Linked DNA regions of Lytechinus pictus. The protein of the gene in region 1 interacts with the protein of each later gene in a pairwise test. Links are inferred from orthologs where the notes say so. Each region holds a gene or a part of one and is shown on either strand. Other genes may lie near its edges. The genes, in order: regulator of MON1-CCZ1 complex-like and abl interactor 2-like.

Region 1 (17,591 bases):
AGCGTATGTATGGTATTACGATTACAAAATAGGCATACCAAATTCAATTATTAAACTTATTATAATGATAATGATGAGAAGGATAATAGTTTTTGTTTTAGGTGTATAGGAGACCCTATATAAGAAACACGACCAACACATCTCTTTTCTATAAAATTCCTTTCCTCTGCTTTCTATTTTCTTCATTTCTCTTCGTGTTTTTATAGGGAAGTCGCCCCTATACAATGTGTGCACCATCGTTCCTTTGTGTAATTGTGCAAAACGGGCTCCCTACAAATCAAATCTGAAATGATATTATTGTGTAGTGATTTTGAGATTTTTATAATTATTATCATTATTTTTTTATTTTTTTGACAAATGCATCGGATAGATAATCAAATTTCCAACGCTTTTTACTTCCCGAAGTGCTTTCATGTTATTTTCCACCCACTTGCCAACTTTCTCGGAAATACGAATTAGCAATAATGACGTTCAGTTTTATCAGACTGTTAACAAGAGTGTGCTAATGACTTTTTGATGACTTGGACTAAAGTATTTTACAGTGCGATGTCCATCTCGTGTTGGTCTTTGACAATCGACAAATATATCAACCTTATTTTTCTTTTCTTTTAAGAAGGGCATCAGCAATTAAAAGTTAGCATTTAGTATTTTCTTTTTACACTGTTAAAAATAATTTAAACAACGCTGTCTACTATGTGAATCGCACAGTAGTGGTTTAAACATCTTGAACAAGTGTTTGAAACAAAGTATAAATTCAAATATTCAATTATTAAAAATTTAAGCATGGTTGTTCAAGATTTTAAACACTTGTTTAAACTTTTTAAACAACTACTGTGTGATTCACATAGTAAACAGTGTTGTTTAAATTATTTTTTAACAGTGTAGATTACAATTATTTTGATTTAGAATTCGAACCAACTTGCAAATTCAGTTGATTAATTTTCGTAAATAATAACGCAGAACTCTTAATATCGCCTTTGGAAAAGTATCCGTTGGCGTATTGTTTTACAAAATAAACGTAATCTAATGTCGTCTTTATCTTGAAAATACATTGTCTGGTTATACTCACTTTCTTACTGGACGAACTTGCCCGACCTTTTTCAATTTGTTGTAAATTTTTCGCTGGTTCAGGTTTAGTTTCCGGTTCTTCCGATTCTGTTTCCAATACTCCGCCCATTTTCAATACAGCAACTATGTTTTCTTGTACAATAGTTTAACAAGTTTACTTCATTCTCTTCAATTCAGCTCTTGCATGTCTTATTCTTCTTTTTGTTATTGCTTGCTTTTCTGGGTAGCCTTTGCTTGTTTGTTTGTTTGTTAAGCTGTGAGTTGTGTCTGAATTTTAGTGTTGAAAATTTATTGTATCATTACATAACACATTTTGTTGCTATACGAGATTGGCCATTGCTGCGCATGCGCGATACTTGCTAATCGTTTCGGCGAATGAGAATGTGTGACGTAATAAAGTGTATTCATTGTTGATGCGCAGTGCACTGAACGCGCACTCTCATCACAATCAGTTAGAAATCACAGACACAAACGATTCAGTCCGAGGGGAATCAATATCCACATGGGCGGCGATTACGCAGGGGCGGATCCAGCTTTTTATAAAGGGGGGGGGTTTGGGGTGGTATGCGAGGGAGCGTAGCGACCGAGTCCAAGCGAGCGGAGCGAGCGAGGGGGGAGGGTGTGGGAGGGGGGTGTCCCCCCTCCCACAGTAGGGAAAATTTTTGAAAATCTGTGTGTGAAAATGGCGTTTTCTTGCATCTAAAACACCACTCTTTTTGGTATAGAGGTCGTTGCCAAATTAACCCCCATGAAAATTTGTAAAATTAAGTTGCATTTTCCTGCAATGTAAGGCCAGTTAACAACACAGATACAAAGAATTGGGGACCTTGGAATAAGCACTGTTAGCCTAATACTTTTATTATGAACAGCTTGTCACTGATACTCACTGGCAAATCTCAGTCAAATATGATGGACTGGCAGAAGAGACGCCTTGGATGTTTCTGTACAAATCCCTGAACTATTTTGCTGGAACTTTCATTCCCAAATATTTATTTTTCATCCCCAAAGACTTCAACAATCCCCCCATTTTTTTTTTAAATTTTTTTATGTGGGGATTTTGGGGGTGAGAATCGGCAACGCTGGCCTAGCTTGTCACTTCGGCGGTGGCCCGTGTCCTCAAAAAAGCTGATGGGGGGGGGGGGCAAGGGACTCTGTGACATTTGTTCGCCCAACCCCCCCCCCTCCCCCAAAAAGAAATAATAATAATAATAATAATCATAATAATAAATGAAATAAATACATAGAAATAGAATAAAATAAAATTACAAGTTTTAAAAAAAAGATAAGATTTTAAAAAATGGTCCCCGGATTTTTTTTTTTTTGGGGGGGGTTGCAACCCCCCAACCCCCCCCTCTAGATCCGCTTCTGTTACGGGTGGGTTGGGGGGGGCGTCCATGTCCCCCCAAATTTTGGCTTTTGAAAAGCAACCCATTTGGAGAAGGTCATCCCCTTCTAACCATGAAAACAAATCTTAAAAAATCGCATAAAAGCGATCGATGGATTTGGAAAAAAAAATATCAAATTCATTTTTGCATGCACCTCCCTCTCAAAAGCTAGGTTAGTATATTTAGGGCAGGGGGAGGGGGGGGGGAGTAGAAGAGGAGATAAAAATATTGAAAAAAAAGTCGATATGAGAAAATGCCCACCCAAAATATTAACATCTGTTGTCATTTTTTTTTATTACTCAAGTGCTTTATTTTTTTTTTTTTTAGGTAACTTCTTATGGTATCTCATAAAAATACTGATATCCAATTTTGTCCAAATAAACAAGCTACCTAACACTTTAGATTGTAATTTTGACAATGTACTTACATCAAAAGGTCGCACACGGTTATGGCCACCACAGCAACTCATGTTTCTTCACGTTTAGGCATGTTCTGAATAAAGTAAAAATACAATGAAAAAATTGAGGCGATAGAATAAAATATAAAATTCTGATATAATACGATAAAGCTTCCGGAGAATTGTAACTGATCCCTAACATCTTTGAGGGGGAATCCCCCTCCTAGTCTGCAAGCACAGGCCCTGATTGAAATTTCGATCAACAAGTGGCTCTTAAAGGGATGGTCCGGGCTAAAAGTATTTATAGCTTAATAAATATAGTAGATTTCACTGAGCAAAATGCCGAAAATTTCATCAAAATCGGATAACAACTAACAAAGTTATTGAATTTTCAAGTTTAGCAATATTTTGTGAAAACAGTCGTCATGAATATTCATTAGGTGGGCTGATGATGTCACATCCCCACTTGTTCTTTTGTATTTTATTATATGAAATTAGGTTTATTCAAATTTTTCCTCCTAGAACTAGAAAAATTGGATTGACAACTGATTTAGTGCATTAGATATTAATTGCTGCAACTTATTTTATAATAAGGGAGACATATTATTCACACAAGTATGAAATAATAAAAAATTATGATTTCATGTAATAACATTAAAAAAAAACGGAAAGTGGGGATTTGACATCATCAGCCCATCTGGTGAATATTCATGACGACTGTTTTCACAAAATATTGCTAAACTTTAAACTTCAATAACTTTATTATTTGTTATCCGATTTTGATGAAATTTTCGGCATTTTGCTCAGTGAGCTCTACTCTATGTTTTAATATATAAATATTTTCAGCCTGGACCATCCCTTTAACACAAATACTAGCATATATTAAATTCCTGTGCGAGAGGGCCTTCAGTACACAAAGGCATGAGTAGGCTCTACCCTCCTCCCCTCCTCCCCTTCTCCTCCTCCACCTCCCCCCGCCATGATCACATCTCGTGAAACTGCAAACAGATAATGCGATTACCAATGATATACCAACGGAGTCGGTTATTCGTTGGTGTACCTAGAGCACTGGCATGATTAGGGAAAATCCCCTTCCGTCTATCACATTTGAGTCTGCAGACCCCCTCTCTCCAATGGCAGATCCAGCTTTTTGCCAAGAGGGAGTTTACAAGTAGCTGCGACGTAATTCGTCCTACCTCTAGACAGGGAAGTGGGTGTTGGAGTTTGATCCCACACTCCTTTTAATAATTATGTTTTTAGGGAGCCCGAAGTTTGGGTTAAACCACCACCCCCCCCCCCCTTTGATCCGCCACTGCCCACCCCCCATAGGCGGCGGAAACGGGGATACGGGGGGACAGGTCCCCCCTAAATTTGAGGTGGGGGACGATCCCCCCTAAAATTTTTGTTGATAACCTTTTTTTTTTTTTTGCTTGTCAACAAATTCTGTCGGTCCCCCTAAAATTTTGGTTGATATATAACTTTTGTTTGTCTTTTTTGTTGTCAAAAATTTTTGGTGGTCCCCCCTACATTTTCTGGCTTCCGCCGCCAATGCCCCCCCCCCCCCCACTGCCATCACTCCTTTCAATTACACCATCGACATTATGAAGTTACAAAACACCAAATCCAATATACATGATGTCAGGTGACTATACAGAAAACAGCAGCTGGAGCGTCCCCGTAACCAAGACGACCGAAAATACATAATGCAATCCACATCCATGATCAGAATTTGTGATTTCCTGCTCATTTCTGCAGGTACCCGATGAGGTCCTAGTCACACCAACGACACCGACTCCAAACCGACAGATGATATATGTCTTTGGAAATAATGTAATAGCTTTGATCGATCAGGGGTCGTTTCTTTGGTGAGAGTGTAACATCGCATGAATCTTATAAGCTTGTCTTTATAATTATGAAGTGAATCGACAGACAAAAATTCTTTTTCATTGTTTTGTTTTTCATTATTTCTTCGTCAGTTATACCTAAATTATGCCAGAAATGAACGCTGTTGAATTTTTAAAGCAAGTTGTTTAAGCCCATCAGTTGTTTAAAGATTCTAACATGTTTAAAAAGTTTAAATAATTGTTTAGACATTTTGAACAACATGTTGTTAGAGTGATATAGGCTTAAACGCACCGCTTGTAATTTTGTAAAAGCGTTAGTTTTCATCAGAACACTTGGAACATAATCTTCGAATTATCAAAATAGGATATTCTTTATTGATGAACTTGCAATAGAGCCTTAAAAAGTGCTTCATATTTTGACACTGTTCCCAAGCTTTTTGACATCGCTGCCCTATCCTGAAATTTGAGTACGACCTATGATCTAAATGCTTCTCTTTCTCCCTCCACGTTGCTTGTCGCAGGGGAAGAGATAGAATTGAACTTGTCTAATAGAATTTTGAACCCACTTTCTTAATTGCTTTTACTATTTACAAAATGTAATGGTTAACTTGGAAAACGGATCACCAAAATAATGTTGATTTAACATCTTTGTTTTTTATTATTATGAGTAACCTCTGATCAGGAGTTTTATTCATTCACATTATTGGATTAAAAGTTTAAAACCCTGATACAGACAAAGATAATATTAAGAAACTCACGGGACACGATCAGGGCTATCATAGGGACAATTAGAAAGTTGATATTAAAAATAGGTATATATTATATTGCTTACTTGCTCTGGTCTCTTGCAATTAATCATGGAATGATATATCTTTACTCTCAATTAAAAAAATAGTTTTGTGCTTACGTGTGTGTATCATTAAACCACCGCAAATACCACCAGCACATCATTATCATCGTCATAATCATCATCATCACCATCGTCGTCATCATCATCATCATCTTTATCCCCATTATATATTCTTCTTCTTCTTCATTATCATCATCATCATCATCATCGTCATCATCACCATCGTCGTCATCATCATCATCATCACCGTCATCATCATCATCATCATCATCATCACCATCGTCGTCATCGTCATCATCATCATCATTATCATCATCATCATGCATCATTATTATCATCATCATCATCAGGCATCGTCATCATCATCATCGTCATCATCATCATCACCATCATCATCATCACCATCATCATCATCTTTACCATCATCATCACCATCTTCAACTAAAAAAATGAAATGTTAAATCAACTGAAAGATTGGGGAGCGACAATCATTTCAAAATAATGTTATATCCTACCTTACGTATAAAAAGCTGAATACGATGGCTTGAAAGGGTGTAATATATTCCAGCTAGTATATCTAATCAGTATTAGATTTAGGAGCCACTGTCTTCTATGAACATAATTAAGCGCAATCCTGTATTAAAACTGTCTGGCTGCATGCGTCCAATATCACACTGTTACCTATGTCATGTATTTTGTAGTCCTATTTCACATGGCTTCGACGCAACAGATTTTTGTCTATGATACCACGGGCCTCTAGGTGATGCGTTCTAGCTACTCAAGGTATGGTACAAGCGACCTCGAAATGCTGCGATAGGATCGAGCCACAACTATGGCAGCTTTTCAAGAAAGAGTAAAAAAATAAATGAGTAGGCGAGCAAATTATTCCACAAAATGCTAATATGTCCTTTAAGTGGGTGGATATTCACAGGGCTTTATATATTTATTATGGAGTAACACGGTAAAATAAAACCATTGGCAAATCGCCCCTGTCGTTTGTGTAATTCTCTCCACACCCCATCAGGAGCCGGGGGGGGGGGGGGTGAGTGATGTTTCTGGAGGAGGGGACTCGCGCTCCCAAAAATGTTCATACAATAATGTTGTTTTTACTTTTATCATGTCATTATTAAGCATCATAATCTTGACCCAAATATGGCTTATAACTTCGTATATTTGCCCAAAATAAGTTAGAATCGATTATAAGGCTCGCTCGCTGTTCACGCTCGCAACGGAAATTTGATGCCCGCTGATCCCTCACCTTTTTTGCCTCCTGATGCCAATTCTCCATCATTTTCCATCGGGGGGGGGGGGGGGGCTAGAATTCAGTGAGCTGTACGCAGGTGTTTTTTTTTTTGGGGGGGAACATACTTTAAGATCTATTTCTGTTAAAAAGCTTTCACAATCGAGACTTGCGATCGGTTGCAACCACTTTGGTCACAGTATATGTTGCACACAATCGCAACGGTTGTAAGCAGTCGCATCACCAATAATTGTGAAAGGGGCTTAGGTTTTCAAATTTTATCTTACAGTTGCCATGGTTATATCTCGCCATGCTGAATCATTGTCTTGTAAATGGGTAATAATAAAAGTAAAAAGCAAAAGTACTATTATAATATACGTTCGCCATGTTCTCCAAGTCACTTTTCATCAATCAAGTTAGCCATGTTAGCGTCATGTGCCAATCCTGGTATTTTGCTGACTGAACGATATAGATACAGATATTTTTGTAATAGGCATATCTACTTTTTCCGGGAGGGGGGGGGGTGCAATATTGATTCTGACACATTTTTACCTTTATCGTAGGCTGAATTCCTGCTAAAGTGGGCAGCTAGCTAAGGGCAGGGGCGGCGAAAAAAGTGCCCTTTTTAGGCAAGAAAAATGCCCCCTTACGAACGTATATGCCCCTTTCGCCTGAGAAGGACCTGTTTTATTTGTTAACAAGTGCCATATTTCTCCTACAGGGCCTATATCAGTGCCAAATTTTCACCCCAAAAAATGCCCCCTCACGACCGTGTTCAGTGCCCCTTTCACCTGAGAAGGACCCGTTTTAATTATGTACGTGAACAAGTGCCCCTTGCCTTCCTGACCTTATTCGAATCATTGCCCCTTTTTACCCAAGAAAAGTGCCCCTCGATCACGAACGTGTTCTTTGCCCCTTTCACCTGAGAAGGACCCGTTTTATGTCGTTAGCAAGTGCCCTTTTGCTTTCTTATTAGTGCCCTTTCTTGTATCAGTGACCCTTTTTACCTAAAAAAAAATGCCTCTAAAAAATGTGCTCTGTGCCCCTTTCACTTGAGAAGACCCGTTTTATGTGTCAAAGAGTGCCCGTTTGAAACAGGAAAACATATACGTTACTACTTATGAAAAAAAAGAGTAATCCTAATCTATCACGAAATTGGATTTTCATTAGAAAACTTTCAAAATATAAATGTTACGTGATGAGACATATCTAGCCCCCTAAAAAATGTGGGCACATTACAGCACTGTATAGATAAGTTTTTTCTTCTGTTTTTCGAAAGCCAAAGTGCCCTTTTTTCCTTGCCCCCCCCCCTCCACTTTCAACTTCGCTCCGCCGCCCTTATATAGCTAGGGGTTCCACAGCCCGACTTCCATTGACGAGTTCACAGTCCAGAATAAAGTAGAGATCGAGAGAAACCTGATAAAAGAAGAGAGTATATAGAAAGAAAGAAAGAAAGAAACAAAAAGGGGGAAAAGGGAAGGGATCGAGCTAGAAGCTAGGGGAGAGAGAGAGATACTCAGCTAGAAAGAAGGAAGAATTAAAGGAATGAATGATCACAGGAAGAAGGAAGGAAAGAGAAAGAAAGAAAAAGACCGAAAGAAAAATATGGGAAAAGGATAATGAAAGAAATGAAGAAAGAAAGAACAAATGAGGAATCACTGGGCGCCCGAAACATGCACAGTCGAGTACTGTGCACGAAAGGGTCTTTGCAAGAACCGTCTTTCGTGTCGCCCATTTATTATGATGCGCCATGTGAAACGCATTTTAAATAAATTACCTGCAAACATAATTTATTCATCCGTTAAAGTAAACAAAATCTATGGTTATAAAATGATGTAATATATAATAAAATTGTATACCAATTGATTTAAATGCTAGCTAACAAATTATATTTGCTTATCATACATTTCAGAAATATCCCGCATACAGCGCATCATAAGGAGATGGGCAACACGAAAGACGGTCCTTGGAAAGACCCTTTCGTGCAATCGGCCCCAGCTCGTTTCTTGTGCGTGAAAACAGGTTCAAAGGATGAAGGCTGAAGGTCACGAGATCGCGAATGTGGAGTTGACTGAGTCCTGGTAAAATTATATTGAAAATTGTTCTTCTAACCGAAATTGTTGAAGAATATCTACAAATATGGCTGAGGACCAATCACACTATGTAGAACTGTCGGGAAATCCGATAAGATTTGAACCTATCAGCCGTCAGACCAACGTATTTTACGATGAGGTAAAACGACAGGTAAGTGAGCTGCGAAAACACTATTCCGGCGGAACGCTGTCTCTGATTGTCGCCAGAGCTTCCGGGTATCTACACCGTCATTAGTCGCTGGTTCGGATGTTAATGTGGGCGTGTGCGTGTGAAGCTGCGCTTGATCTGAGTCTGAGAGTGAGACTGAGGTCTGAGCTGAGTCGGACGTCGATCGGATTTAACGGAAAAAACGACTAACGTTAGAGGTCTGGGGACGTATTCTGAGGTCATTTTATCTTGCGTAGAAATTGTATCTGCGTATCTACAGATGATACGCAACAGAGGAGTGCCTGCGTCATGTGCGTAGACATACCCATCGCGTATCTGGGCTTCTGGCCATTGGCAATGGCATTGCAACGCGAATGATGTGCTTGCGCTCATGTTACTTCTTTGAAGAAAAAATAAAATAAACTTAAAAGAGGGTAGGGGCTATTTTATCTCCGCGACGTTGATTTCATCATTATTTCTTGGTGAATTAACTACAAATGTTGACATGAAAATGAAGAAAAATTATATATTTAGGCCTATTGAAAATAATACCTTAACGTTATTCCTGTACAATCAGGAAGAATTTCATAAGACTTTTCTTGACTAATATTGTCTTTGAAATGATGCTTGAAAAGATGCAATATAGACTTCGAAAAAAGATGAATATATTGTCATTTTTTAAAAAGAAATCTCTGTAAAAATGCGCAAGCGTATATTGCAAGCGTGATTGAAGTTAATAAATTGACGCAATCTCACTCCTTTGCCACACCTCCTGGCGGAATGGATTTTCATTGGTTGAGTGATATGAGAGAGCTATAAAAGCGCGTTTCTAATTGGATATTGATTAAAAAATAGGTGTGTCTTACAGAGATAAAATGAACATAAAATTGTTCTCAGAATACCAATTCGGAGAGATTTTAAGGGTATTTTATCTCACTGATTTTAACGGAGATAAAATATTTTATTTTATCTGAGATAAAATGGATCTCAGAATACCACCCCTGTTTGTTTTCAGTTCCTAGGACAAAAAAAACATTTATGCCAAATTATGGAAGGGGGTCCTACATAGCCTTGAGGACTCCATGATGATATTTTTTATTATTTTGACATATATACTTCTTCATCATGCATGGAGCCTTGGCTAAAATTTAATACGTGATTATAAATATTATAATAATAATTTATATTCATAATCACTTATTAAATTTTAGTATTTGTTAAATAATAAATTTGCCATGTTGCCCTCCCCGGGCTTTGCCCATAGGAATCCTGTACAAAATAGAGGACAATATTGGCCATATTTCTGCTAATGCGCTTGCGCAGTTGGAGCCGATTCTGATCGCTAATTTCAGTATTTCAGAAATCTTGCTGGAACCAGTTCATGAAACAAAGTACAACACATTGTAGGCAATGCGCGGCGAGGCCAGTGCGGCATACACAAACGTAACCAAGGCGCAAGATTTCTATGCGTTGAGTGTATGTGCGTGCCATGCATGATGCGCGACTGCAAGGTACATGTAACAATTACGTCACAATTATGAGGCGCCGAATGTACCAATATTATATAGAACAATTATTTGTTATATAATCATTATTTATTAAATAATAACTATTATTTATATATAATTTACATTTTATTTGTAAATAACTACTATTATATAAAATATCATTTCTAATTATTTATATATAATTCCAAGTAATACTTCATTATTTGTAAATAATAATAGTTCGACATTCCATTATTTATAAATAATGATTATTTGTTTTTCATTATTTATAAATAATGATTATTTGTTTTTCATTATTTATAAATAATGATTATTTGTTTTTCATTATTTACAAATAATGATTATTTGTTTTTCATTATTTATAAATAATGATTATTTGTTTTTCATTATTTATAAATAATGATTATTTGTTTTTCATTATTTACAAATAATGATTATTTGTTTTTCATTATTTATAAATAATGATTATTTGTTTTTCATTATTTATAAATAATGATTATTTGTTTTTCATTATTTATAAATAATGATTATTTGTTTTTCATTATTTACAAATAATTTGTTGAGTTTTCCATTATTTATAAATAATGATTATTTGTTTTTCATTATTTATAAATAATTTGTTGAGTTTTCCATTATTTATAAATAATGATTATTTGTTAAATAATGAAAACGTCTACTTCATTATTTATAAATAATTTTTTCGAGTGCACCATTATTCTCATTATTTATAAATAATCATTATTTAATGTTCGAGTTTTCCATTATTTATAAATAAAGATTATTTGTTAAATAATGAAATATCTACTTCATTATTTATAAATAATAATTTTGTTTCAATATCCCATTAATCATTATTTATAAACAATTTTTACAGTTTGCCATTATATACAAATAATCATTATTTATATACAAATAACCATTATTTATTAAATAATGCCATTATTTATTAAATAATGCCATTATTTATTAAATAATGCCATTATTTATTAAATAATGCCATTATTTATTAAATAATGGAAAACTCGCTATAACATGCAAATGTGGGACCGCCCATGATATGAATATTCATGATGCGATTTCCTTTTTCGTGATTTTTCTTCACAAATTTTTGTCCATTTCCTCTTCATAATGACATTTCTTGAAGCAATTTTCTAGGGATATGGTCTGATTGTAATATTCTTCATTTTCTATATAACTTCGTCTTCGTAGAAATATCAAAAAGTGTAATTTTATACGATTTTTCCTACAGTTCACAATCCCCATAGGCGCGCGTGTACGGTAGGGACAACCGGTGAATCGACGGAGTGCTCTTCATCGAAATACTACGTTGGTTGGTCCCCGGAAGTGGCGGGCGGAATTTAGCCCGAATCCTCGATGGAAGTCGATCAAGTGCATATGAGCTGAGAGAGTGAAATATCAGTGTACTTGTACAGGCCCTTCTACTTTTTATAATTATTTCTTGTTGCTTTTTTGTTAAGTTAATTTTTCCTGGTGTAGAGATAAGTTTCAGTTCTAATAATGCACTTCAAATACATTTTGGAGTGTCTGTTTGAGGCGTTTGGGGCAATTTCACCCTGGCCCCAAAATGCTCGCAACGACAATACGGGGGCATGATGACCCCTAAATTTGTAAAAACTTATTTTTCTATTGAAAATTATCACAAAATTCACCAAAAGTGTGCACGAAAGCCTTCGTATTTCACTTTTAAAACTCCAAAAAGTGCCCAAATGACAAGCTTGGTCGCTTCGCTGTGTCGCTTTCAACTTGAGAACGTTTACGCGTCTGCTTCCCCCCCCCCCCTCCTCCGAAAGAAATTATGTATACGGCCATGCTCTAAAGAGCCTGGCACATTGATTTATGTATACTTCATTTTCATTATTTTTATCTCATTATCATCATGGCCTTACGCAGAATTTTTTCCGGGGGGGGGGGGGGGGGGTGGGGGGAGCAGGACGCGCGTAAACTTTCTCATAAAAATCTTGAAAAAGCGAAGCGACCAAGCTTGTCATTTGAGCTTGGTCGCGTCGCTGTCTCGCTTTCAAGATTTTTTTTAGAAACTTTACGCGCGTCCTAGCTGCTCCCCCCCCCCCCCCGGTAAAAATTCTGTGTAAGGCCATGATGATAATGTGATAAAAATAATGAAAATGAAAAGTACATATAAATCAATGTGCCATATGCTGCCGTTCACAGAATTTCTTTCGGGGGGTGGGGGCAGACGCGCGTAAACGTTCTCAAGTTGAAAGCGAGACAGCGAAGCGACCAAGCTTGTCATTTGGGCTTGGTCCCGTGGCTGTCTCGCTTTCAAGATTTTTTTGAGAAAGTTTACGCGCGTCATGCTCCGGCCCCGGCCCCCCTGGAAAAAATTCTGCGTAAGGCCATGTTGATAATGAGATAAAAATAATGAAAATGAAAGTATACATAAATCAATGTGCCAGGCTCTTTAGAGCATGGCCGTATACAGAATTTCTTTCGGAGGAGGGGGGGGGGGATATATCGAAGCAGACGCGTAAACGTTCTCAAGTTGAATGCGACACAGCGAAGCGACCAAGCTTGTCATTTGGGCACTTTTTGGAGTTTTAAAAGTGAAATACGAAGGCTTTCGTGCACACTTTTGGTGAATTTTGAGATAATTTTCAATAGAAAAATAAGTTTTTAAAAATTTAGGGGTCATCATGCCCCCGTATTGTCGTTGCGAGCATTTTGGGGCCAGGGTGAAATCGCCCCAAACGCCTCAAACAGACACTCCAAAATGTATTTGAAGTGCATTATTAGAACTGAAACTTATCTCTACACCAGGAAAAATTAACTTAACAAAAAAGCAACAAGAAATAATTATAAAAAGTAGAAGGGCCTGTACAAGTACACTGATATTTCACTCTCTCAGCTCATATGCACTTGATCGACTTCCATCGAGGATTCGGGCTAAATTCCGCCCGCCACTTCCGCGGACCAACCAACGTAGTATTTCGATGAAGAGCACTCCGTCGATTCACCGGTTGTCCCTACCGTACACGCGCGCCTATGGGGATTGTGAACTGTAGGAAAAATCGTATAAAATTACACTTTTTGATATTTCTACGAAGACGAAGTTATATAGAAAATGAATAATATTACAATCAGACCATATCCCTAGAAAATTGCTTCAAGAAATGTCATTATGAAGAGGAAATGGACAAAAATTTGTGAAGAAAAATCACGAAAAAGGAAATCGCATCATGAATATTCATATCATGGGCGGTCCCACATTTGCATGTTATAGCGAGTTTTCCATTATTTAATAAATAATGGCATTATTTAATAAATAATGGCATTATTTAATAAATAATGGCATTATTTAATAAATAATGGCATTATTTAATAAATAATGGCATTATTTAATAAATAATGGCATTATTTAATAAATAATGGTTATTTGTATATAAATAATGATTATTTGTATATAATGGCAAACTGTAAAAATTGTTTATAAATAATGATTAATGGGATATTGAAACAAAATTATTATTTATAAATAATGAAGTAGATATTTCATTATTTAACAAATAATCTTTATTTATAAATAATGGAAAACTCGAACATTAAATAATGATTATTTATTAATAATGAGAATAATGGTGCACTCGAAAAAATTATTTATAAATAATGAAGTAGACGTTTTCATTATTTAACAAATAATCATTATTTATAAATAATGGAAAACTCAACAAATTATTTATAAATAATGAAAAACAAATAATCATTATTTATAAATAATGAAAAACAAATAATCATTATTTGTAAATAATGAAAAACAAATAATCATTATTTATAAATAATGAAAAACCAATTATCATTATTTATAAATAATGAAAAACAAATAATCATTATTTATAAATAATGAAAAACAAATAATCATTATTTGTAAATAATGAAAAACAAATAATCATTATTTATAAATAATGAAAAACAAATAATCATTATTTATAAATAATGAAAAACAAATAATCATTATTTATAAATAATGAAAAACAAATAATCATTATTTATAAATAATGAAAAACAAATAATCATTATTTATAAATAATGAAAAACAAATAATCATTATTTATAAATAATGGAATGTCGAACTATTATTATTTACAAATAATGAAGTATTACTTGGAATTATATATAAATAATTAGAAATGATATTTTATATAATAGTAGTTATTTACAAATAAAATGTAAATTATATATAAATAATAGTTATTATTTAATAAATAATGATTATATAACAAATAATTGTTCTATATAATATTGGTACATTCGGCGCCTCATACACAATTGCTTATTAAAGGTTACATCGCTAAGGTCGTGAATAACCTGAAATCAGAAGTAGTGATAAGCAAACAGGCATATAAATTGTTCCGAATAGTAGCTTGAATTACACATTGTACAGCTTTAGGTAATAATAATAATATTGACTGGCTCTTCTTTCGGGAAACATAAAATATGTCGCCCTTAAAGGAACCATATTGCCCTTGTCTAAAGACTCGGGCCAATATAATTCTGTTGCGGGCGACATATTTTATGTTCCCCTCAAGGCCAGTCAATATTATATACGGTAATTATTTGTTAACGTTTTATATTTAGTTATGTATTTTTAAAATATATGACTGCTTTTCCCACAATGGCCCCAAATACTTACAATAAGATAAGGAAAAAGTTACCAAGAATCTTTATATAAAATTTGTAACTTTTTCCTTATATCTTATAAGATGAAACCTTCAATCCTAAAAATCTGAAATGGAAAATACAAATGTTTCAAGTGCCTTTTTTAATTAACGATGGCGATTGTCTGAGTGTAAGAGGTAACCTATTGGAAGCTTTAATGGTGATTGAAAGTCCTGTCTCTAGCCACTCATTCAATGAACAAGGTTGTGATATAACCTTGTTCTCTGTTACATCTCCATGAGTGACAAAATAAGGTTGGCAATGGTTGGCTTCTTTTCTCTTTATCTTTGGGACAAATGCTTAATTTTTTTACACTGTCAGTTTCCATTACAGCTATTCCCAATTTATTAATGAAAATAAATTGCAACTGTATGGAAATTAGTAATTTTGGTCACAAAAAGTGATATTTTAATGATTTTTAAAGTGTGTGCTCACAGCATTGGCATACCACAGTCCTACCTGTAGATTCCCCACAGGCAGGATGGTTGCAGTGAGCAAGTGTCTCCAGCCAGGTTTTTTGTGATATGTACATGTACATGTAAGATGGTCTCGGTGACTGGAGACTCCTACATGTACATGTAAGCTATGGCCTTTGATGACCATGAATGAACTTAAGCACTGATGCACTCCTTGGATCTTGTGGCCCCCAAATCACGCAATAAATGGATTATGTCTGTGCGGATCTTGCAACATTTGCTCGTGTCTTTAATATCTCAGAGGGCATAGGGTTACAGAACTTAGGATTGTAATAAGAGTTTTGGGTTCAGAATAAAGATAAGGATCAGGATTAGGGTTAGTTAAGGAAGTTATGTTTGGCTTAATGTGCAGATTTTCCTTCAGAGCAATTGTGGCTGGAGCAAATGTCATAGAACTGTCTATGCATGTCAAAATGTCCAAATGCAAGAAAAAAATGAATTCTTGTAATGCCAAGCACATATTTTTCTTTATTCTGAGTTTAGACAATTCGGTTACAGTGTACATGTATGTATGTATATCCCTCCCATGATGTGTAATAATATACACAGAAATGTACTTTCTAAGATAGGATTCAAAGAAAATAGTTTATAATTCTGGATAATGCGTTTTTATTTTGTTTCAGGTGTTCGCTGTGAGATCAGGAGGAGCCTTTGGAGTAGTTGTTAAAGGACCGGACGAAAAGACAAGCACAACATTTAGGTAACTTATTTTTCTTCAGAAATACAGTTTCAGTCATGAACTTGTAAGTTAAACCCAAGTCAAAGTGACCTATTAGATAATCATGATCTCAGTCATACAGAATGCTTGTGGAAGTAAGGGGGGGGGGGGGGGGCTATGCATACATGAATTGATGAATCATACATCAATGATATCTTAAAATGGTACATGTAATCTCCATTTACAATATAAACAAAATATTAGAAATTCTGCTTTTTGATCAGATTTAAGTCATTCTACATGTACATGTATGAACTGTTGCATAATGCTACAAAAACAGTTTGAAATGTATCCCGCAGTTTGAGAAAGGATGGGAAAGGCGAAGGTAATAGTGATGAAATATATGCAAGATTTATAAAGCGCTAAGGATTCTAAGCGCTGCAAACTATTACCCCAGCATGATATGGCTAGTGCTACCCTGATCATGCCCTTGAGCAGTCACTACGCCTGGGTGGAGAGTGGCACGTGTAGATTATTGCCTTGCTAAAGGCAAGGGGGTGTATGGCTATAAAAAGATGACATTTCTACTTTGAGAAATGGTAGGGGAAAAGAATTGCTATATAAAGTCAGAAGCTGAAAACGGGAGAAAGAAAGGAGAACCATAATCAAGAGTACAGAGGAAGAGGGACAATGTAGAAAAGTCAGTACAAAAAGGGGGGAAAAAAGGATCAAAATGCAATGCTAGAACATGTACGTGTAATTGTATTGCACACTCCATACTCCAATGGTTGTATCTTGAATATATGATTTTATTACCAAGTATTAGGTCTTACTCTCTTGTATAGTAAACAGAAATAATAATAATAATAATAATATAGGATATTTTTATTGCGCACATATCCACCTTGTTAGGTGCTCAAGGCGCTCCTATATTACCCGGCTAATGATTATAAATGATTATGTTTACTTGAAATCACAGAATGGAAGACAAAGGACCAGTTATATCCATCAAATTCTCATCTGATCTTCGAATCTTAGCTGTGCAGAGATCACAGAGGACAGTGGTAAGGATAAAAGTGTAACCGGTGCGGTAGGTTCTTTCAGCCCCTTCCCCCCCCCTCTCCCCTGCCCCCACCCCACACACACATTTGCACCATTATAAATAAAGGGCGGTATTCGTATAGCCATGGTTTAGTTAATTCACACCACAATTTTTATGGAGTGGCAGTTGT
Region 2 (17,289 bases), on another chromosome or scaffold:
CCTTCCTTTTCCATTAAATTTTTTTTCGCTTCGTTTTCTTTTCACTTTTCCCTTTCCCTTTCCCCTTTCCTTCCCCTTTCCCTTTCTTTCTCCCTCCCTTTTCTTTTTTTCCCCCCGTTTTTTTAATTTTCCCGGTGAAATCCGCCAGGGGGGGGCTGCTTGCCCCCCCTGCCCCCCGCCTGTTACGCCACTGCCCCTACCTGATTGGAAATGTTAGAAAGTTTTTATATAGCGATGCAAATTGTAATTCCTTGGTGAATTTGATAAGAGCCGAAATCGCTTAAACTTGGGATAATTCTTCTAATATGTTATATATACGCATTTAGGGCACGCACGGTTCTAGGGGGAGCTTTGTGCATGGTTCAAGCCCCCCCAAAAAAAATGGGGAAGGGGGTAAACTGAAAACAATGTAAAAATAAATCGGCGAAAAATAACATTGACAAAACCCCTTAAAGTGAGAGTCACTAGCGTACCTAAAAGGGGGCAGGAGGCAGACTGCCCCCCTGACGAGTCGCAAGCAAAAAAAAAAAAAGGAGAAAAAGAAGAAAGAGGTTTAAGAGAAAGGGGAAAACAAAAACTGGACTGCAGACTGTCGGAAAAAATGATAAACTGTCGAGCACACGGGGCTGTTCCAACTGATTTGTTTTTTTTAGTTCCACCATCTTTGTCGGTAAATGTCAATTTAACTGTACACTTTTATCGGTAAATTGTGATTTTTACGCAATGCGACTTTTAGAGCTCTCTGAGCATGGACTGGGCTGACCAGGGACAGGAAAAAAGTAGAGAACAACTTTCAGGTAATATAATTATAACAATTTTCAGCTCGCACTTCGCGCTCGCGTCAATTGATTAGTTAGAAACCAATTTGTTCATGGTTACTAAAAGTGCTTAGAATATCCAGTTCTTAAGTTGGAATATCAAAAGTTTTAGCTCGCGCTTTGCGCCCGCACGACTCTTTAGATACCCATCTTGTAAAACTGATTAGAATGTCTAGTCTCCAGTTAGGAATATCAAAATGTTTAGCTCGCGCTTCGCGCTCGCATAATTTATTAAGGAAGATATTCATCCTATTCATAGTTAAGTGCATAAAAATGTATCGTTTAAGGTCTAAGTTTTTTAGAAAATTTCAGCTCGCGCTTCGCGCTCGCAATTATTATTTTTATATAATTTTAGTGTAAATTGTTAGGCGCGTGCAATTGAAAGTGAAGACTTTTTGGGGTGGGGCTTGTCAAATTTTTTAAAACAAAATGTCCCCCTTGAAAATCCTGGATCTGCCTCTGGGTTGGATATAGATGAGTACTGTTCGTCGGACGTCAGTAATCGGTACTGATATATGTCGCGGGTAAAGGCCTAGTTATACCCCTGCTTACACATTCCTCTGGTTATTACCGTCCCCCTTTCTATCCTATGTACCTGATCCCTTCGTCCACCTATCTATATTTTCCCATTTCAATTCCCTCAACCTTCTGACATTCCTGCCAGTGAGTGAGTGATTTTCCCCATATCTAGTGATATATCATGTTACTGTCGCATATATTTTCACGTTCATATTTATTTTTTTTATGAGTGAAAGGATGCATTTATTTTTGTTTTAACTGTGTATATGGAAATAAAACAAATGCAAATCAATACATGAATACAACTGATTTCAATGTCAAATACCTCTTTTATAACGTCTCCAAATGAGCAGAATTGGGAACATAATGTAAACACCTTCAAAGAGGAATAAAAGAAGTATTTTAATATAAACATTGCAATTACCACTTGATAGAAATATATCGATCACGATCCAATACATTTTATTTCTGGAATTATTATGCAAAAAAAAAAATAATAATTTCGACAATAAAGTGCAATCGCCCGATAGCAAATATCAGTAGTAGCAAGATTACAACTGTTTTATTGGGCATCCCCTGGGTAACCTTTCCCACCTTCAGTGCCACTTCCAGACCTACACATCCAAACGTTTATGGGGGGCTGCAAAATGCAGGGCAACGAGGAATACGAGGTGCCCAAACATCCTCGTGTATTGGTAATTTGATGACGGAATGTATAATTTCTGCAAGTTTCATATCATGTTAAATGGCTAAATAATAATTGAAAAAAATGTTCGCTCGCTTCGCTCGCTCGAAAATTAAAAACTGTGAAGTTGATATTTGGGCAATGATTATCAGCCCCCCCTTGAAAAATTGTGCCTATACGTCCATGCCTACTACCCCCCCCCCCCCCCCCCTGACGAAATATGCCAGGTACGCCACTGTGCTTTCTTTCAAATTAACCACACTACTTCCACCTACATTATAACAATACTAATCCTGTAAAATTGAAGTTTTAACTATATTTTCGGGGGTCAAAAGCGCTCTGAATCATTTGCTGGTGCCCCCCCCCCCCCCCACAATGCCGTGAACCACGGTACGCCACTGCATGCAGACTTGGCAGTCAGACCATGGAGCTATATATGGAACAGCGTTTCATCAACAATTTTTTTGTCATACATGTTGTCAGATCTGACAACTTTCCTTGATATTGACTGGCTGAGAAGCTCTGTTACCATTGTAACTATTATAAAATGGGACTTATCGGATAAAACGTCTGACACGGTCCTTTCATGAGACGCTATACGCAGGGCGCGCGTTTCCGTTTTACACCCTGGCGAAGGCATTTTCCGCAAAAATAGCCACAAAGCGACTAGTGAAGAGTCTACACACGTCGCTGGTTGCAGCGTGCGACACAGGCGAGTCCCTCACCAAGTTTGATGGATTGATACACTTAGATGCCGAAAGATAGATATAGAAGATAGATAGATAGATAGATAGATAGATAGATAGATAGATAGATAGATAGATAGATAGATAGATAGATAGATAGATAGATAGATAGATAGATAGATAGATAGATAGATAGATAGATAGATAGATAGATAGATAGATAGATAGATAGAAGTAGAGAGAGAGAGAGAGAGAAAGACAGAGAGATGGTTAGATAGATAGATAGATAGATGGGGGGGAGAGAACTTGAGAGATGGAGAGATGCTATAGATAGATAGATACTGTAGTTACATAGATAGATAGATAATAGACAGATAGATGGATAGATAGATAGAGAGAGGGGGGAGAGAGAGATAGAGAATTTGAGAGATAGGTAGATGTTAGATGGATAGATAGATAAAGAATGAGAGAGACAGAGAAGATAGACAAATTAACAGATAGATAGATACTGTAGTTACATATAGATAGATAGATAGAAGATAGATAGATTGATAGAGAGAGAGAGAGAACTAGAGAAAGACAGATGGATAGATAGTGTCACGAGCGAAACTGCTCTAATTAACTCATTAATCTACAGGCTACTTAACCACCCTGAATAAAAGACCAAAGGATATTCAAGATATAAATGAAGTGATCAATTTAATGTCATAAAATATAATAAGCCATTAACATTGAATCGTTGAGAACATAAGTATATTGGCAAATGGATATTCAATAAATCTTTGCATATAAAAATCATAAAATGCCATATATGCATAAGAGGAATATAATCATCATCGATTGTTTATGGGAAGAGATCGATCTAAAAATAGGCCTTTAAATTATGTTACCGAAAGTCTTAATCGGGTAAAGTGGAGTTCGAAAAACAGAAGAGATCGACAAACCACGGCGACTACGAAGAGGCGACGATTACGACGAAGAACATGTCGATGATCGACGACAACGAAGAACAATTATGGGACGATGAAAACGCGATGCACATCAGCGAAGACACGACCGTGTCCTTGAAGAACGAAGAACCATAGTTGAGTTGAAGCTCTATAACTAGGAAGAATTATGGTCGAGTCCGACGAACAGAAGCTTCGGCTGACTGAAGTGAGTCATTCCCCTCTGTGACTCATGACCTTGACATAGCGGGTATAGGTGCTACCCTGACCTACGTACGTTGACTCTACATTAACCCTGGGTTGACCCTAGGTTGACAGCCGCCTAAAATAGGAATAGACCAAATACTTAACAGCAAAGACCCTAACAATTTTCTATTCACAAAGATGTCAGCTTATCGAAATTAGCTGTCATATTATCAAAGTAAATAAATAACAAGCTTTTATTAGCATGAGCTTTGTGATAGTCAAAAAATACATAACAGTGTGGAGAAATCTAATATAATTAACTTTCTCTCTGAATCGTAGATCGATTATATAATTGACTTTAACAGACTTGCAAAATACGTTTCCTTCACCGGAGGTATCACATGAAATATTCATAATTTGCAAAACAAGCTTTTTATAAATGACACAGAATTGTACGACTTTAAATAGCAAAATACAACTTTGTTCATTTTAGTAAGGATAATTGTATTCACTTTGAGGAATGGAGTAAGATAAGAAATATATGTAATTTGGTGACAAAATGAGCAGAATATATATATGTAAATCTATCTTTCTTTCCGAAAACAGACATGCCATATTAAGCATAAGAATTGTATTAACATTAAAACCATATAAACCAAACATTACTTACAATTCGGCATGAGTAGAAAGGAACCTGCCCGCACTGTGGCACACGCCCTTTTCCTTGGTTAGGAAACACCCCAAAACGGACCTTCCTCTCCAAAATCAGAAGTCAGAGTGAGCTGGCTTGGCTTTTCTTGCCAGCACACCAAACAGAAATATGTAACACAAAGAGTCTGTCATCCTACACACCTGTTAACCTATAGTCTACTTATTATGACAACCCAGCCTGTTGAAATACCAGGCAACCTATCATGCCTATAGTTCAGTTACTAAGGTATGCAGTCCACATCTGTACATGGAGTTTAACAAAAGAGTTTAACAAAACATGGACTTTAACAAAAGGGTTATCTAACTTTGAATAAGATCCTACAGATAGAGAGAGAGAGAGAGATAGATGTTAGATAGATAAAGAATGAGAGAGACAGAGAAGATTAACAGATAGATAGATAGATAGATAGATAGATAGATATATAGATAGATAGATAGATAGATCTATATAGATATAATTTGAGAGATAGATATATAGACGGATAGAGAGAAAAAGACAGACAGATGGATATATAGAGAGAATTTGAGATATATATATATATATATATATATAGTGGATTTTATTGCAATAAAAACTATCAAAATACAATCACAAGCAGTCAAAGACTGAAATAAGTGAATGTTTACATACAAATAGAATCATAACAAAATATAAAGTAAACATTATAAATAAATATCAAATAAAATACAAATTCATACAGATGAAAAAGAAATGTATCATAAATAAATACAAAAGGCCAAAAGTACTACAAAGTGTCACCAAAGAAGAAAAAAGCGGAATGAAAGATTAAGAAGAAAGAGGTGAGAGAAGGGAAAGAAATTGGGATAAGACAAAGAGAAGGGAAAGCAAGAGGTGGAATTTGAAAGAGAATAGGAGGCAACCTTCAGAAAAAAAAACTCATTATGCAATGCAAGACATTTAACAATGGTAACAAGTAAATAAAGTAGTAATTTAATCGAATCGAGCACAAAAAAGGGAAAAGTAGAGCTGAGGAAATAGACTCCCGAAGGAAGTCGAAGCAGTATTGATATTGCATGCGTAGATTAATAGATGGATAGAGAGGAATAAAAGAGAGACAGGTGGATAGATAGAGAATTTGAGAGATAGATGTTAGATGGATAGATAGATAGATAGACAGATAGATAGGTAGATAGAGAATGAGAGAGACAGAGTAGATAGACAAATTAACAGATAGATATATCATGTAGTTCCATAGATTGATTTATAAGACAGATAGTGGATAGACAGATATGATAGATATAAGGATAGATATAATATGAAAAAAAAAGTAATTATGTGTTTTATTTTTCAATATTTTAGCTATTATTTGTTTTCATTCATATAAACGATCATGTGCGATAAAGTTTAAAAAAAAATCAAGAAGCCAACGTAAATAGTTTAGCGGTACAACGAAAATACAGAGACTGAAGCTTTTGGTCTATAAGCTCAGCTGCATTTGCACGTTAGACGGGTCAATATATTGTTTGACCTGGAACAAATTGCAACAAATGATTTTTCAACGGTATTTTGTACTATTTGACCTCAGGAATAACATACTAAAAATCTACCAAAATCCGCATCCGGGAAAGTGGTTATTTTTAAGATGGCGTCCAAGATGGCCGTCATTCACTAAAAATTGATATAACTCACTCATTATCCACCCTTGAATCCTATTTGGATTCATATTCCATAATCCAATGGGTAAAATAATCTATTTATACAAGTTAGAGTGAATATTAACACTCCAGGGTACCAGGAAAATCCAATATGGCGCCCAAAATGGTTGCCGTAGTCTAAAAAATCCACAATTCATCTATTACTTACTTAAGTGGCTTTAATTTGGTTTCCATTCGATTGTTTTAATGATGGAGTAGTATACGTCGGGACAAGTAACAAGGGCAGCCAGTGGTCTGGTGTGTCGAAAAATACAAGATGGCTTCCAAAAATTGAGTTTAAAATGGCTTTTAATCCTTAAAATGGACATAGCTCATATCACATCCACCTGAGAGATATGATTTTGATGTCTAGACCATGGTTTCAATGGTCAAATAATACATTGTGACAAGTTACAAGGACAGTCAGTGGTCCGGTATGTTAAAAAAATCCAAGATGTCTTCCAAAAATGGAGTAAAAAATGCTGTTGCTACTTTAAAAAAAACCAACATAGTTTGTTAAATATCCGGGAATATGATTTTTTGTGCCTATACCATGGTTAAATGGGTCAAATAATAAATTGGGATAGGTTACAAGGACGTTTGTTGGTCAAGTATGTCCAAAAGTCCACGGTGGCATAGTATCAATTAGCCGCGATGGTATTTAAAAATTGACATAGTTAGGTTTTATTCGTCAAGGGCATATGATTTTGTTGCCTATATCATGGTTTCAAAAGGCAGAAAATTAGTTACAAGGACAGTCAGTGGTCCAGTATGTCGAAAATCTAAGAAAGCTTCCAAAAATCGGAGTCTAAAATGACTGCTGTTACTTTAAAAATGGACATAGTTCCTTTAAATTCCACCTAGGAGATATGATTTCGGTGTCCACACTATGGTTTCATGATTAAAATAATACGTTTGGACTGGTTACATTGATATGCAGTTGTCCAGTTTGCCTAAAACACAAGAGGGTTTTTAAAAAAGGAATCTAAAACGACTCATATCATTCAATACTGGTCAGAGTTCTACAATATTCATCTGCAAGAAATAATGTTGGTGTCCAAATTGTGGTATGAAGGGTCAAATAATACATTCGGAAAAGTAACAAAGATGGTTAGTACCCCATTTTGTCAAAGATTCTAAAATTTCATCAAAATGGGTGCTGTTACCAACTCATGAAACAATATGATAACTTGTCCCCATGCATTTAAGTGTAGGCACCAAGATTATTTCTAACAGGTAGATATTTTATGTAACGGTAGTCACTTTAGAACCCATTCTTAAGCCAACTTGGATTTCAAGGCAAAATGAATTGCTGCATATCATGGTAACCAGTCCCAAAGTATTGTTTGGCCCTTGAAACCCTAGTGTAGACACCAAAATAATATCCCCAAGGTGTATTTATAATGTTCTACATCCCCTTTTAAGTAACAGCAGTCTTTAAGACCCCCATTTTTAAAGCCATCTTTGATTTTTGGACATACCTGACACCTGACTGTCCTTTGAACTTATCCCAATGTATTGCTTGACCCTGTAAACTCTAGTATAGACAGCAAAATCATACCTCCAAGGTGTATTTATAATAAACTATGCATACTTTTAAACAACAACAGTCAATTTACACCCCATTTTTTTAAGTAATCTTGGATTTTTTAACATACAGACAACTGACTGGTCTTGTAACTTACCCTAGTGTATTACTTGACCCTTTTAAACCATGCTTTTAACACCAAACTCATATTCCCCAGACAGATGTTAAACAAACTATGTCCTTATGTAAGTAACATCAGACATTTTTTTACTCCATTTTTGGAAGCCATCTTGTAATTTTGGACGTACTAAGCCACTGACTGCCATTGTCTTGTCCTAATTTATTATTTGACCCTTGAAACCATAGTTTAGACACCGAAATCATATCTCACAGGCTGAGTTAAAACGAGCTATGCCACTTTTAAGTATCAACAGCCATTTTAGAATCAAGTTTTGGAAGCCAACTTAGGTTTTTTGACCGACCAGGCCACTGACTGTCCTTGTAACTTGCCCTAATGTATTAATTGATCCTTGAAACTAGTGGTTTAGACACAGAAATCACCTTTCCAGGCCAATATGAAATGAGCTTTGTCCGTTTTAAGTATCAGCAGCATATTTTTAAGACCAATTTTTTGACACCATCTTCGATTTTTGGACATACCAGACCATTGACTGTCCTTGTAACTTATCCTAATATATTTTTGACCCTTGAAACCAGTGGTTTAGACATCAAAATCACATATCCCAGTCCAAAATGAAATGAGCTATGTCCGCTTTAAGTATAAGCAGCCATTTCAGAATCAATTTTTAGAATCCATCGAGGATTTTTGCACATACCAGCCCACTGACTTTCCTTGTAACTTGTCCGAATGTATTATTTGACCCATTTAACCATGGTATAGACACAAAAAAAAATCATATTTCTGGACATTGAGCAAACTATGTCGGGTTTTTAAGTAGCAACAGCAGTTTTCGACTCCATCTTTGGAAGCCATCTTGGATTTTTGAACATACTGGACCACTGACTGTCCTTGTAACGTGTCCCAATGTCTTATTTGACCATTGAATTCGTGGTCTAGACACCAAAATCATTATGTCCCAGGCGGATATGAAATGAACTATGTCCATTTTAATTATCAACAGCCATTTTAAACTCCGTTTTTGGAAGCAATCTTGGATTTTTGGACACACCAGACCACTGGCTGTCCTTGTAACTAGTTTCAATGTACTATTTCACCCTTAAAACCATTGAATGAAAAACAAATTTAGATGAATTGTGGATTTTCAGCCCACGGCAGCCATTTTGGGCGCCATCTTGGATTTGCCTGGTACACTGGAGGGCTTATAATTCTTTCTTGCCTAAATCAACTTTTGTGCCCCAGACCATGGAATATAGAACGAAATAGGATTCTAGGGTGGATAATGTGTCAGTTGTATCAATTTTCAGTGAATGGCGGCTATCTTGGACGCCATCTTGAAAATAACCACTTTCCCGGATGCGGATTTAGGTAGATTTTTAGTATGTTATTCCTGAGGTCAAATAGTACAAAATACCGTTGAAAAATCATTTGTTGCAATTTGTTCCGGGTAAGGCTATTTTTGGTCGTATATTGACCCGTCTACGTATGTTCTGCGGATATCTTCGGAGCGGAATTTTGGATCGCGCGCCCAGCTGATTATGTAAACAAACGTAGACGTAGACTCTTCACTAGTCGCTTTGTGGCTATTTTTTCGGAAAATGCCTTCGCCAGGGTGTAAAACGGAAACGCGCACCCAGGGCCCCGTCCCGGGGGGGGGGGGGGCACTCAGTATATAATGCATAGTGGGTATGTGCCGCGGAGGGGACCCCCATTTTTACACTCAAATTTCCGTTCCAATTAAGGCATAGCATTTTTGTCTTATTGAGAAAAAGAACAAAGAAAGCCGCTCCAAGGCATAGCATTTCCTTCTTATCGAGAAAAAAGAAGAAAGAAATCCGCTCCAAGGCTTCGCATATTTTTCGTTACGCCGTTCCGGTCGCATTGATCTGCTACAATTTTGGTGAAAAGCGGCCGTAGAGCGCTTTTCGACCATCGCCTAAGCGCGAGCGCACCCGGCGGAGGCCGCGCTAGCTGCGTCGTGCACGTTGCCCGTTCCATAGGGATGCATACGCACTCACAGAGATACGGAGATCCGTTCCGAGGACCCCCGTTTTCACAAACATTTGTAGTTCCGAGGACCCTCCTTTTTACAATAAGCCCGCTCCAATTATAAGGCCCCCGTTTTTTGCCTCGCCCGCGGCACACCCCTACCACTTTTTTGGTCGAGTGCCCCCCCCCCCGGGGGCCCCGTCTTACAATCCTACATGTACGAATTGATCCAATCAACCACAATTATGGAAAGCCAGCAACGTCAACATTTGAAATAAATGTTTGTTCAAAATATTTCCAAGATATGTAAATACATTTACTGTTTTCTTGAAAATTCAGTGTTTTTCTCTTTGTTTTCAAAGCACAATGTGCAAATTTCCAAATAAAAAAAATTCCATATACTTGAGGTTGATCCCGGGGGCGCGATAGGATCTGGATCGATCGTAGCTCTTTGTAAGACGGGGCCCTGAGTGTTTCATCAATGCAACGTTTTCGTTCGACAAATTTTCAGATCTAACATCTTTCTTTGATTTTGATTGGGTGCGAAGCAATGTCACTTTGGTAACTGTCGGATTAAAACCATAAAATGACCTTCGGAAAAACGTCCGACAAATCCTTTCGAATTTCATGAAACGCTCCCCAAATACCGGAAGTGAGAGTGACACTCCTAGATTACCCATAATTCCATTTATGAACACGGAAGCTTCTGCGAACTTGGACAAAATTGTACAAAATGTCAACGTTGGAACTTCTTTTCGAAAATGAAATTCCTGCTGGAAGACAGGCTTTACAGGACAGTCATCACAACTTGCAAGATGTGGCTAATTATTGCGAAGATAATTACCGGAAGGTAGATTTAATCAATTTTTGTATTACCTCGGTCCCACTCGCAGAATTTTAAGTTGGTCATGTTATTATTGTTGGTCGAAATTGAATTGGTCCCCAACTCTGCGCACCTAAAATTTGAGTTAAGATTTAACATATATTTCTTTTTATTTCACAAAATTTTCAGTTGATAATGTTCCTGACATCATTATGAGTTAGTGTGCCAAATATCTCATGTCATGATAATTTGAAAATTTTGAATGAAATATATGATTTTTTCGGAAAAAACATTGGGCAGTCATTTTCACTTTCACTTTCAGATTGAACAAGAAAATAAAATGGTGCCCCATGTCTGCGCACCCATTCACTCTGGGATTTTGAGAAAGGCTGCATTTTGAGGCCGTCACAAGAAATGCCCAAAATTCATTATTTTTCCACCATTTTGATGAATATCTTTCTATGTATTGCATGTGTAAATGTGTTCATTACGTATCTTTTACTAGAATCGCGCAGATACGCAAGTGCGCAGACAAGGGGGACTGCGCAGACGGGAACTTACCAAACTTATATTATGATGGTGGTCCCCAAGCCTGCGCACCTAACGATTTAATTATTTTCCCACCATTTTAAATCAGATTTTTTTATGAATATCTGTCTATGTATTGCATGCGTAAAATTTCTGTTCTTTTACTATAAATACTAGAATCACGCAGATTACATGTATAGGTGTGACAAACAGACTCCACAACAATGAAAAAATAAAACTCAAACTGAAAATTTAAGATTAAAAGAAGTCTAAACGAATGAACCAGTCACATAAAAATTGAAACAGGATATTAAGATAATACCTGTGAAGTGACAAACCACCCAAGACCAAGTGATTTTAATGAAACTGCCTTTTCCCTGCCTATCTTTAGAATATTATGGCATTGAAAAAGACATATTTTTGCCTCTGACTGTCATCTTCCCTCAAACTTAGTGGTCATGATGTCCCCCAATCTAATGTGGACTTCAAATCTACAGTAGCTCAGCCCTTTTCAAACTTGAAAAATATTATACAGGTTTACTTGGATGTAGGTGAGGCAATTAGTCTCACTTTTTCTATGAAAAACATTACTGAGCTTAGTTGCTTCATATCTGAATGAGGCATCAACAAATCATAAGATAATCCCATCCCATCCTACCATACATTACCACACAAATCACTCTCATCATATATTTCCTTTTCTATCTTTTTGATAAAGGCCTCTGATAAGAGGAGAGCACTTGAGGAAACAAAGAACTTCACCACTCAATCTCTTGCCAGTGTGGCATATCAGATCAACACACTTGCTACCAGTATGTTGCAGATGCTAGATCTTCAAGCCACACAGCTGGCCAACATGGAGTCTAGCATCAATCACATAGCACAGGTAAGCTCAATCTTTTTCCTCAGTTTCAACTTGGTAAAGACAGTGTGGAAGCAATTTAATTTCTTCTATGTAAAGTACTGTACATGTTGATTTTGACTCATTAAGAATTCACACTGTCTGATGTGTTTTAGGCCCTCCCCCCAACTTGTTCCATAAAATTGTTATTGTTTCTTTATACACCATAGTACTTAGTATTGGACTAATAAAATGTGTGATTGGAGGTACAGCAAATTCATTTAGCATGAGCCTGGTGGTTATTCGACAAATCTGTGGAATTGCCAAAGTACAGTTGTAAACAAATCTCTCTTTTTTTTTCTTTCAGAATGTTGCCATCCACAAGGAGAAAGTAGCACGTCGAGAGATTGGTGTGTTAACCACCAATAAGAATTGCCCTCGCACTCATAAGGTTGTCACACCACCCAATCCTGAGAAGCAGCTTAAGTATAAGTCCACTCCCATTGATTTTTCAGCTCTGGATGACGTAGGTCATGGTCTCAAACTTAGTTCTCCTTCAACAACGTCAGGTAGACCACGAACAGATTCACAAGCAAGCACTTCTACATCTAACAGTGGTGGTGGTGGAGCATATGAAGCATTGCCAGTTTACCAGCCACGACTGGATGACCCGTACAACTCCATGCGTAGACGAATGCCCAATCACCCACCAGTTGCACCAACTGTACCACCACAGTATATGTCTATTGGTAAAGTGGGCATGCGGGATTCTCACCACGGGGCGCCACCAAAGGAAAGGCCATCGATTCCAGGATACATGCAGGGACAACCAGACCCAAATGTACCTGCAGCCCCACCCCCTCCACCAAACATGCCAGGTACACACCCTGGTATGGCACCAGTCGGCCAAGTGCCACCTCCACCACCTGTCATGAGTGGGCCTCCACATACTAACATGGGCCAACCACCACCACCTAATATGGGACCTCCTGCCCCTCCTGCACCCCCAATAGGAGGTATGATGCCCCCAGCACCATCACCTGCACCAGCTGTACATCAGCTACCTCCAGCAACACACCAACCACCCCCAGCAGCCCAACAACCACCCCCGCAGCAACAGCCAAATTTTGCTGCCCAGCTGAACCAAGCTATTGGAATGAGGCCAGGTGCAGGAGAAGCCCAACGTAACTCCATTAACCCATATGGGGATATCGGGATGCCTCCACCACCTGATATGGGAGGTAGGTTCCGGACATCTCAAGTGCTTTTGGAAGTAAAGGCCAAGAAATTCAGTCATTTCAATTCCTTTTTCACTTTAATCATGACATGGTTGCATAGATATATGCATGATTTATTTAATGCTCAAGTATCAAGTCATATTACAATCACTTGGTGAGAATCGGGCTGCATGAAGATCATTATTAAACCAGGCACCCTCAGATATAAAATGAGAAACACTGATAATATCTAATGTCTCATAATCACCATTCTGTATCTTTCTCAGATGTATTTCATTGCACTGTTGATGATGATTTCCTGCACATGACAACATTCAATACTAGGGCTCTGCTGTAAAATATGTATCATCAGTGCTTTGGTTACTTTTCATTAATAGTAACTATCATACTACTACACTTCCAATCACAATCAAGGTTTCCATGGAACTTATCATTAAATTACAAAGTACTGTTAGTATCGATGATCAGTTTGTGCAACAGAGCCCTGGATGATAAAGAAACAAAATGAAATAACTCTGTTAATGTGTTACTTTTGCACCAATTTCACCCACCCATTTTATCAACAGCCTCAGATCTGCCACCTCCTCCTATGGATTCTATGGTATATAGCCAAGACAGTGTGGTGATGCCTCCACCTCCAGAGTTTGAACAGGTGGATGATGACCAGTTTGTTCCCACGCAGTACATTGAGAAAGGTAAGTGTCACTCAGGAACTGTTCTTTGCCAGTTTTAGATACTGATTTTAGATGCTTTTTTGAGATGTAGTACAATCTTTCTAGTGCAAAGTGTGCATGTTGTTAACCCATTGCGTACTGGAAGTAGCCAATGGGTTAGCTAATCGTCAAGGAAATGGGCTGTTTATTATAAGATTCGCCTCTACTCGAGGCGGAGTCTGCAGTTATATTGTCTTTGCTGTTATCCTGAACGCAAGCAATACGTCTGATGTGGCAAAGACTACAAATTGTGTATGCAAAGCATCCACCACCTATAGACTCCTGTCTTGCTTTGGATATTGCTTTATTATTATCGACAATGAAATGATGCCTGTTTTTTCATACGAAAAATTCTTATGCATATGTTTGAAGAAGAAATAAATTGGACCAATCAGAAATACGTTATGAAGTAGAAGGTAAGGCATATATCTATGATTATCTTAGCGATCATGGCTATTAAGATGGAAATGTCTCAATTTGTTGAATAAACATGAATATTGATTAGGCAGATGGGAGTCTATAGGCAGTGGATGCTTCGCTTCCACAATTCGAAGTCTTTGCCACATCAGACGTATCGCTTGCGTTCAGCATAACAGCAAAGACAATAACTGAGGTCATGTACATTGAACTGTCTCATTCTCATAATTGAAGAAACTTATGAGGGGTCAGCTGCAAATTTGGCTCTTGGATCCATGGGAGTGATGAGGATCTGATTGTTTTTTGGGGAAATGGGATAAAGATAAAGGTCACAGAGGGGCAGTTCCATAAAATGTGTGTTTCCGACCCCTTATGTGTGGGACCTTCATGAAATTTTTCGTCTCTGATTTATTGTTCTTTTGACAGACCAATGTTCTCAAAGGACCAGGAGTTGGTTAGTTTATGAAGTGAAGTAAGACTTGAGAAAATGGGGGTCTGCATACAAAAGGTTTATCATTTTAAGAATTGCTCAGAGGATGTTACATTGAAATGTCTCGTTCTTGTTATTACTGTTTAAGGGATTAACTTTAAACCTGGTTTGTATCACATATTGGAGAAGCGGTGATATTAAATTTTGGCGTTACATGTATGACGTCAGAGGTCACTAGGTTATTTTTACATGAAATTACTGAAAATATTTCTTTCTTGTGATAACTGATAATCATTGATGGATCATTGTCAGATTTGGATCATACACCCTGTATCAGTGTGGCTTGAAATCACAGGTGGTTTTTAAGACCATCAGTTGAACCCATGGTTTATTCAGATTTCCTTTTTGAATTACTCTTATTTACAGCATATAGATATTGATAATGCTGATGAGCGCTTTTCCGACAGTGCGCCAAATTGATGCCTGTTGCTGTGATTATCCATGCTATTTTATTTATGAGTCCACTGTTTTGAATTAATGAGTCCACTCTTCAAACAGTGGACTCATGAATAAATTAGCATATATGTACTCAACCATAGCAACAGGCATCAATTTTGCACACTGACAAAAGCGCGCATCAGCATTGAACATTTTTTAATATACGTGATAAATAGGCATAATTTATACAGGAAATCTGCATAAACCATGGGTTCAACCGATGGTTTTAAAAACCACCTTTGCGAATTCGGGTCAATATGTTTATGTAAAGTAAAGATTATCTGAATAGTTTTGGTGGTGACAATTTCAAAGTTTTAGTACATGAAAATTTTAGAGTTTAGGTGTATATTCTTGAGCATGCAATCACAGAGGCATAAATTTCAAATGCATGCTTTTGGTAATCCATGTAGTTAAACATTGGTTGGATTATAGAGAGTATCCTATATATCCAATCCAGGACACGTGTGGAGTGCTTTATGTAATTTTTAAATCAACTTCATATTTTGGACCCACTCATTGGTTTTGAAAAACTTAGCCGATAGGAGATCGGGATGAAATCCCAGTAGTTTCAGGCCCTGAGACGGTTCTGGGAAAGCTCCCAAATCTATAAACTGTGACTGTATTCCAGCTGAAAAAAAAACCATGCCACCTCTTTTGATTATCAAAATCCTGCCATTCGCTGATCTCTTCCTCTACACCATCCAATCCAAAGTTGATATAGCACCTTTTCCTTTCGGTTACAAAGCGCTTGCATTCACAGTACTCCATGTTTGGGCCACTAGAAAAATACTTCAACATGTCAGAATGATCAGCTTAGACAGTCCATGCAATCCATTGTCATCTACATGTAAGCAAAACAGATGAGATTTAATGGCTTCCTTGAACTGGTCAACAGATGAGTCCATCTGCATGTATACCCTAGCTAATGCATAAGTAATGAACAGAACAATATAAAAAAGTGATTAATACTTTTATTTGTTACCAATTTAATACACTATAACAAGCACAGTGTAGCATTCTCTACAGCACACGATCACCCCATAAAACTACCAATTTGGCAACATATACTTTGGTTGGTCAGTTTCAGTATATAGGGATTCTAGTTAAAGGTCAAGTCCATCCCAGAGAAATGTTGATTTGAATCGATAGAGAAAAATCAAAGAAGCATAGCGCTGAAAATTTCATCAAAATCGGATGTGAAATAAGAAAGTTATGACATTTAAAGTTTCGCTAATTTTTCACAAAACAGTGATATGCACAACTCAGTGACATGCAAATGGGACGGTCGATGATGTCCCTCACTCACTATTCCTTTTGCTTTCTATTGTTTGAATTATACAATATATCATTTTTTACAGATTTGACAATAAGGACCAACTTGACTGAACCATATAGTATTAAACAACATCAATTCCACATGTTCAGGGAGGAATTAATCGTTGTTTCACTTGGCAATGAGGAGAAAAATTTTTCATATTTTATTTAATAAAATACAAAAGAAATATTGAGTGGATGACGTCATCAGTCTCCTCATTTGCATACCGAGCAGGATGTGAATATAATTGTTTTATGAAATTAAGCAAAACTTTAAAATGTCATAACTTTCTTATTTTACATCCAATTTTGATAAAATTTTCAGTGTTATGCTTGTTGGATTTTTCTCCCTTTATTCATATCAACTTTTCGTTGGGGTGGACTTGCCCTATAAAATAAGTTTGAGATACCACCCAAGTCCAATGTAAAGATACAAGACTGAACTTTGATGATAAAAAGTATTAGATATTTGAAATGAATTAAACTAAATTTGTGGGAGCTGAAATATGCATTCTTGTTGGACTATTTTGCCATCAGAAATGCTAGTAAAGTAAATGTAATGCTATTCATGTATATAGATTTGGGTCAGAGTAATTTATAACTGTGTGGATTCTTGACATGTT

Evidence for each region.
Region 2: the proteins of regulator of MON1-CCZ1 complex-like (region 1) and abl interactor 2-like interact in a two-hybrid assay, tested with the Caenorhabditis elegans proteins (2 studies listed by BioGRID). The link is inferred for Lytechinus pictus from reciprocal best matches to the Caenorhabditis elegans genes Y50D4A.4 and abi-1.

What each region holds. Positions count from the first base shown.
Region 1 is NC_087261.1:21,294,928-21,312,518, reverse strand, and holds the start of regulator of MON1-CCZ1 complex-like, read left to right. Parts: upstream 1-8,811; 5' UTR 8,812-8,923; coding exon 8,924-9,028; intron 9,029-16,324; coding exon 16,325-16,401; intron 16,402-17,338; coding exon 17,339-17,423; intron 17,424-17,591. Other genes in the region: choline transporter-like protein 1, read right to left, coding at 2,881-2,922.
Region 2 is NC_087247.1:39,148,195-39,165,483, forward strand, and holds the start of abl interactor 2-like, read left to right. Parts: upstream 1-10,525; 5' UTR 10,526-10,597; coding exon 10,598-10,714; intron 10,715-11,933; coding exon 11,934-12,101; intron 12,102-12,423; coding exon 12,424-13,297; intron 13,298-13,860; coding exon 13,861-13,989; intron 13,990-17,289.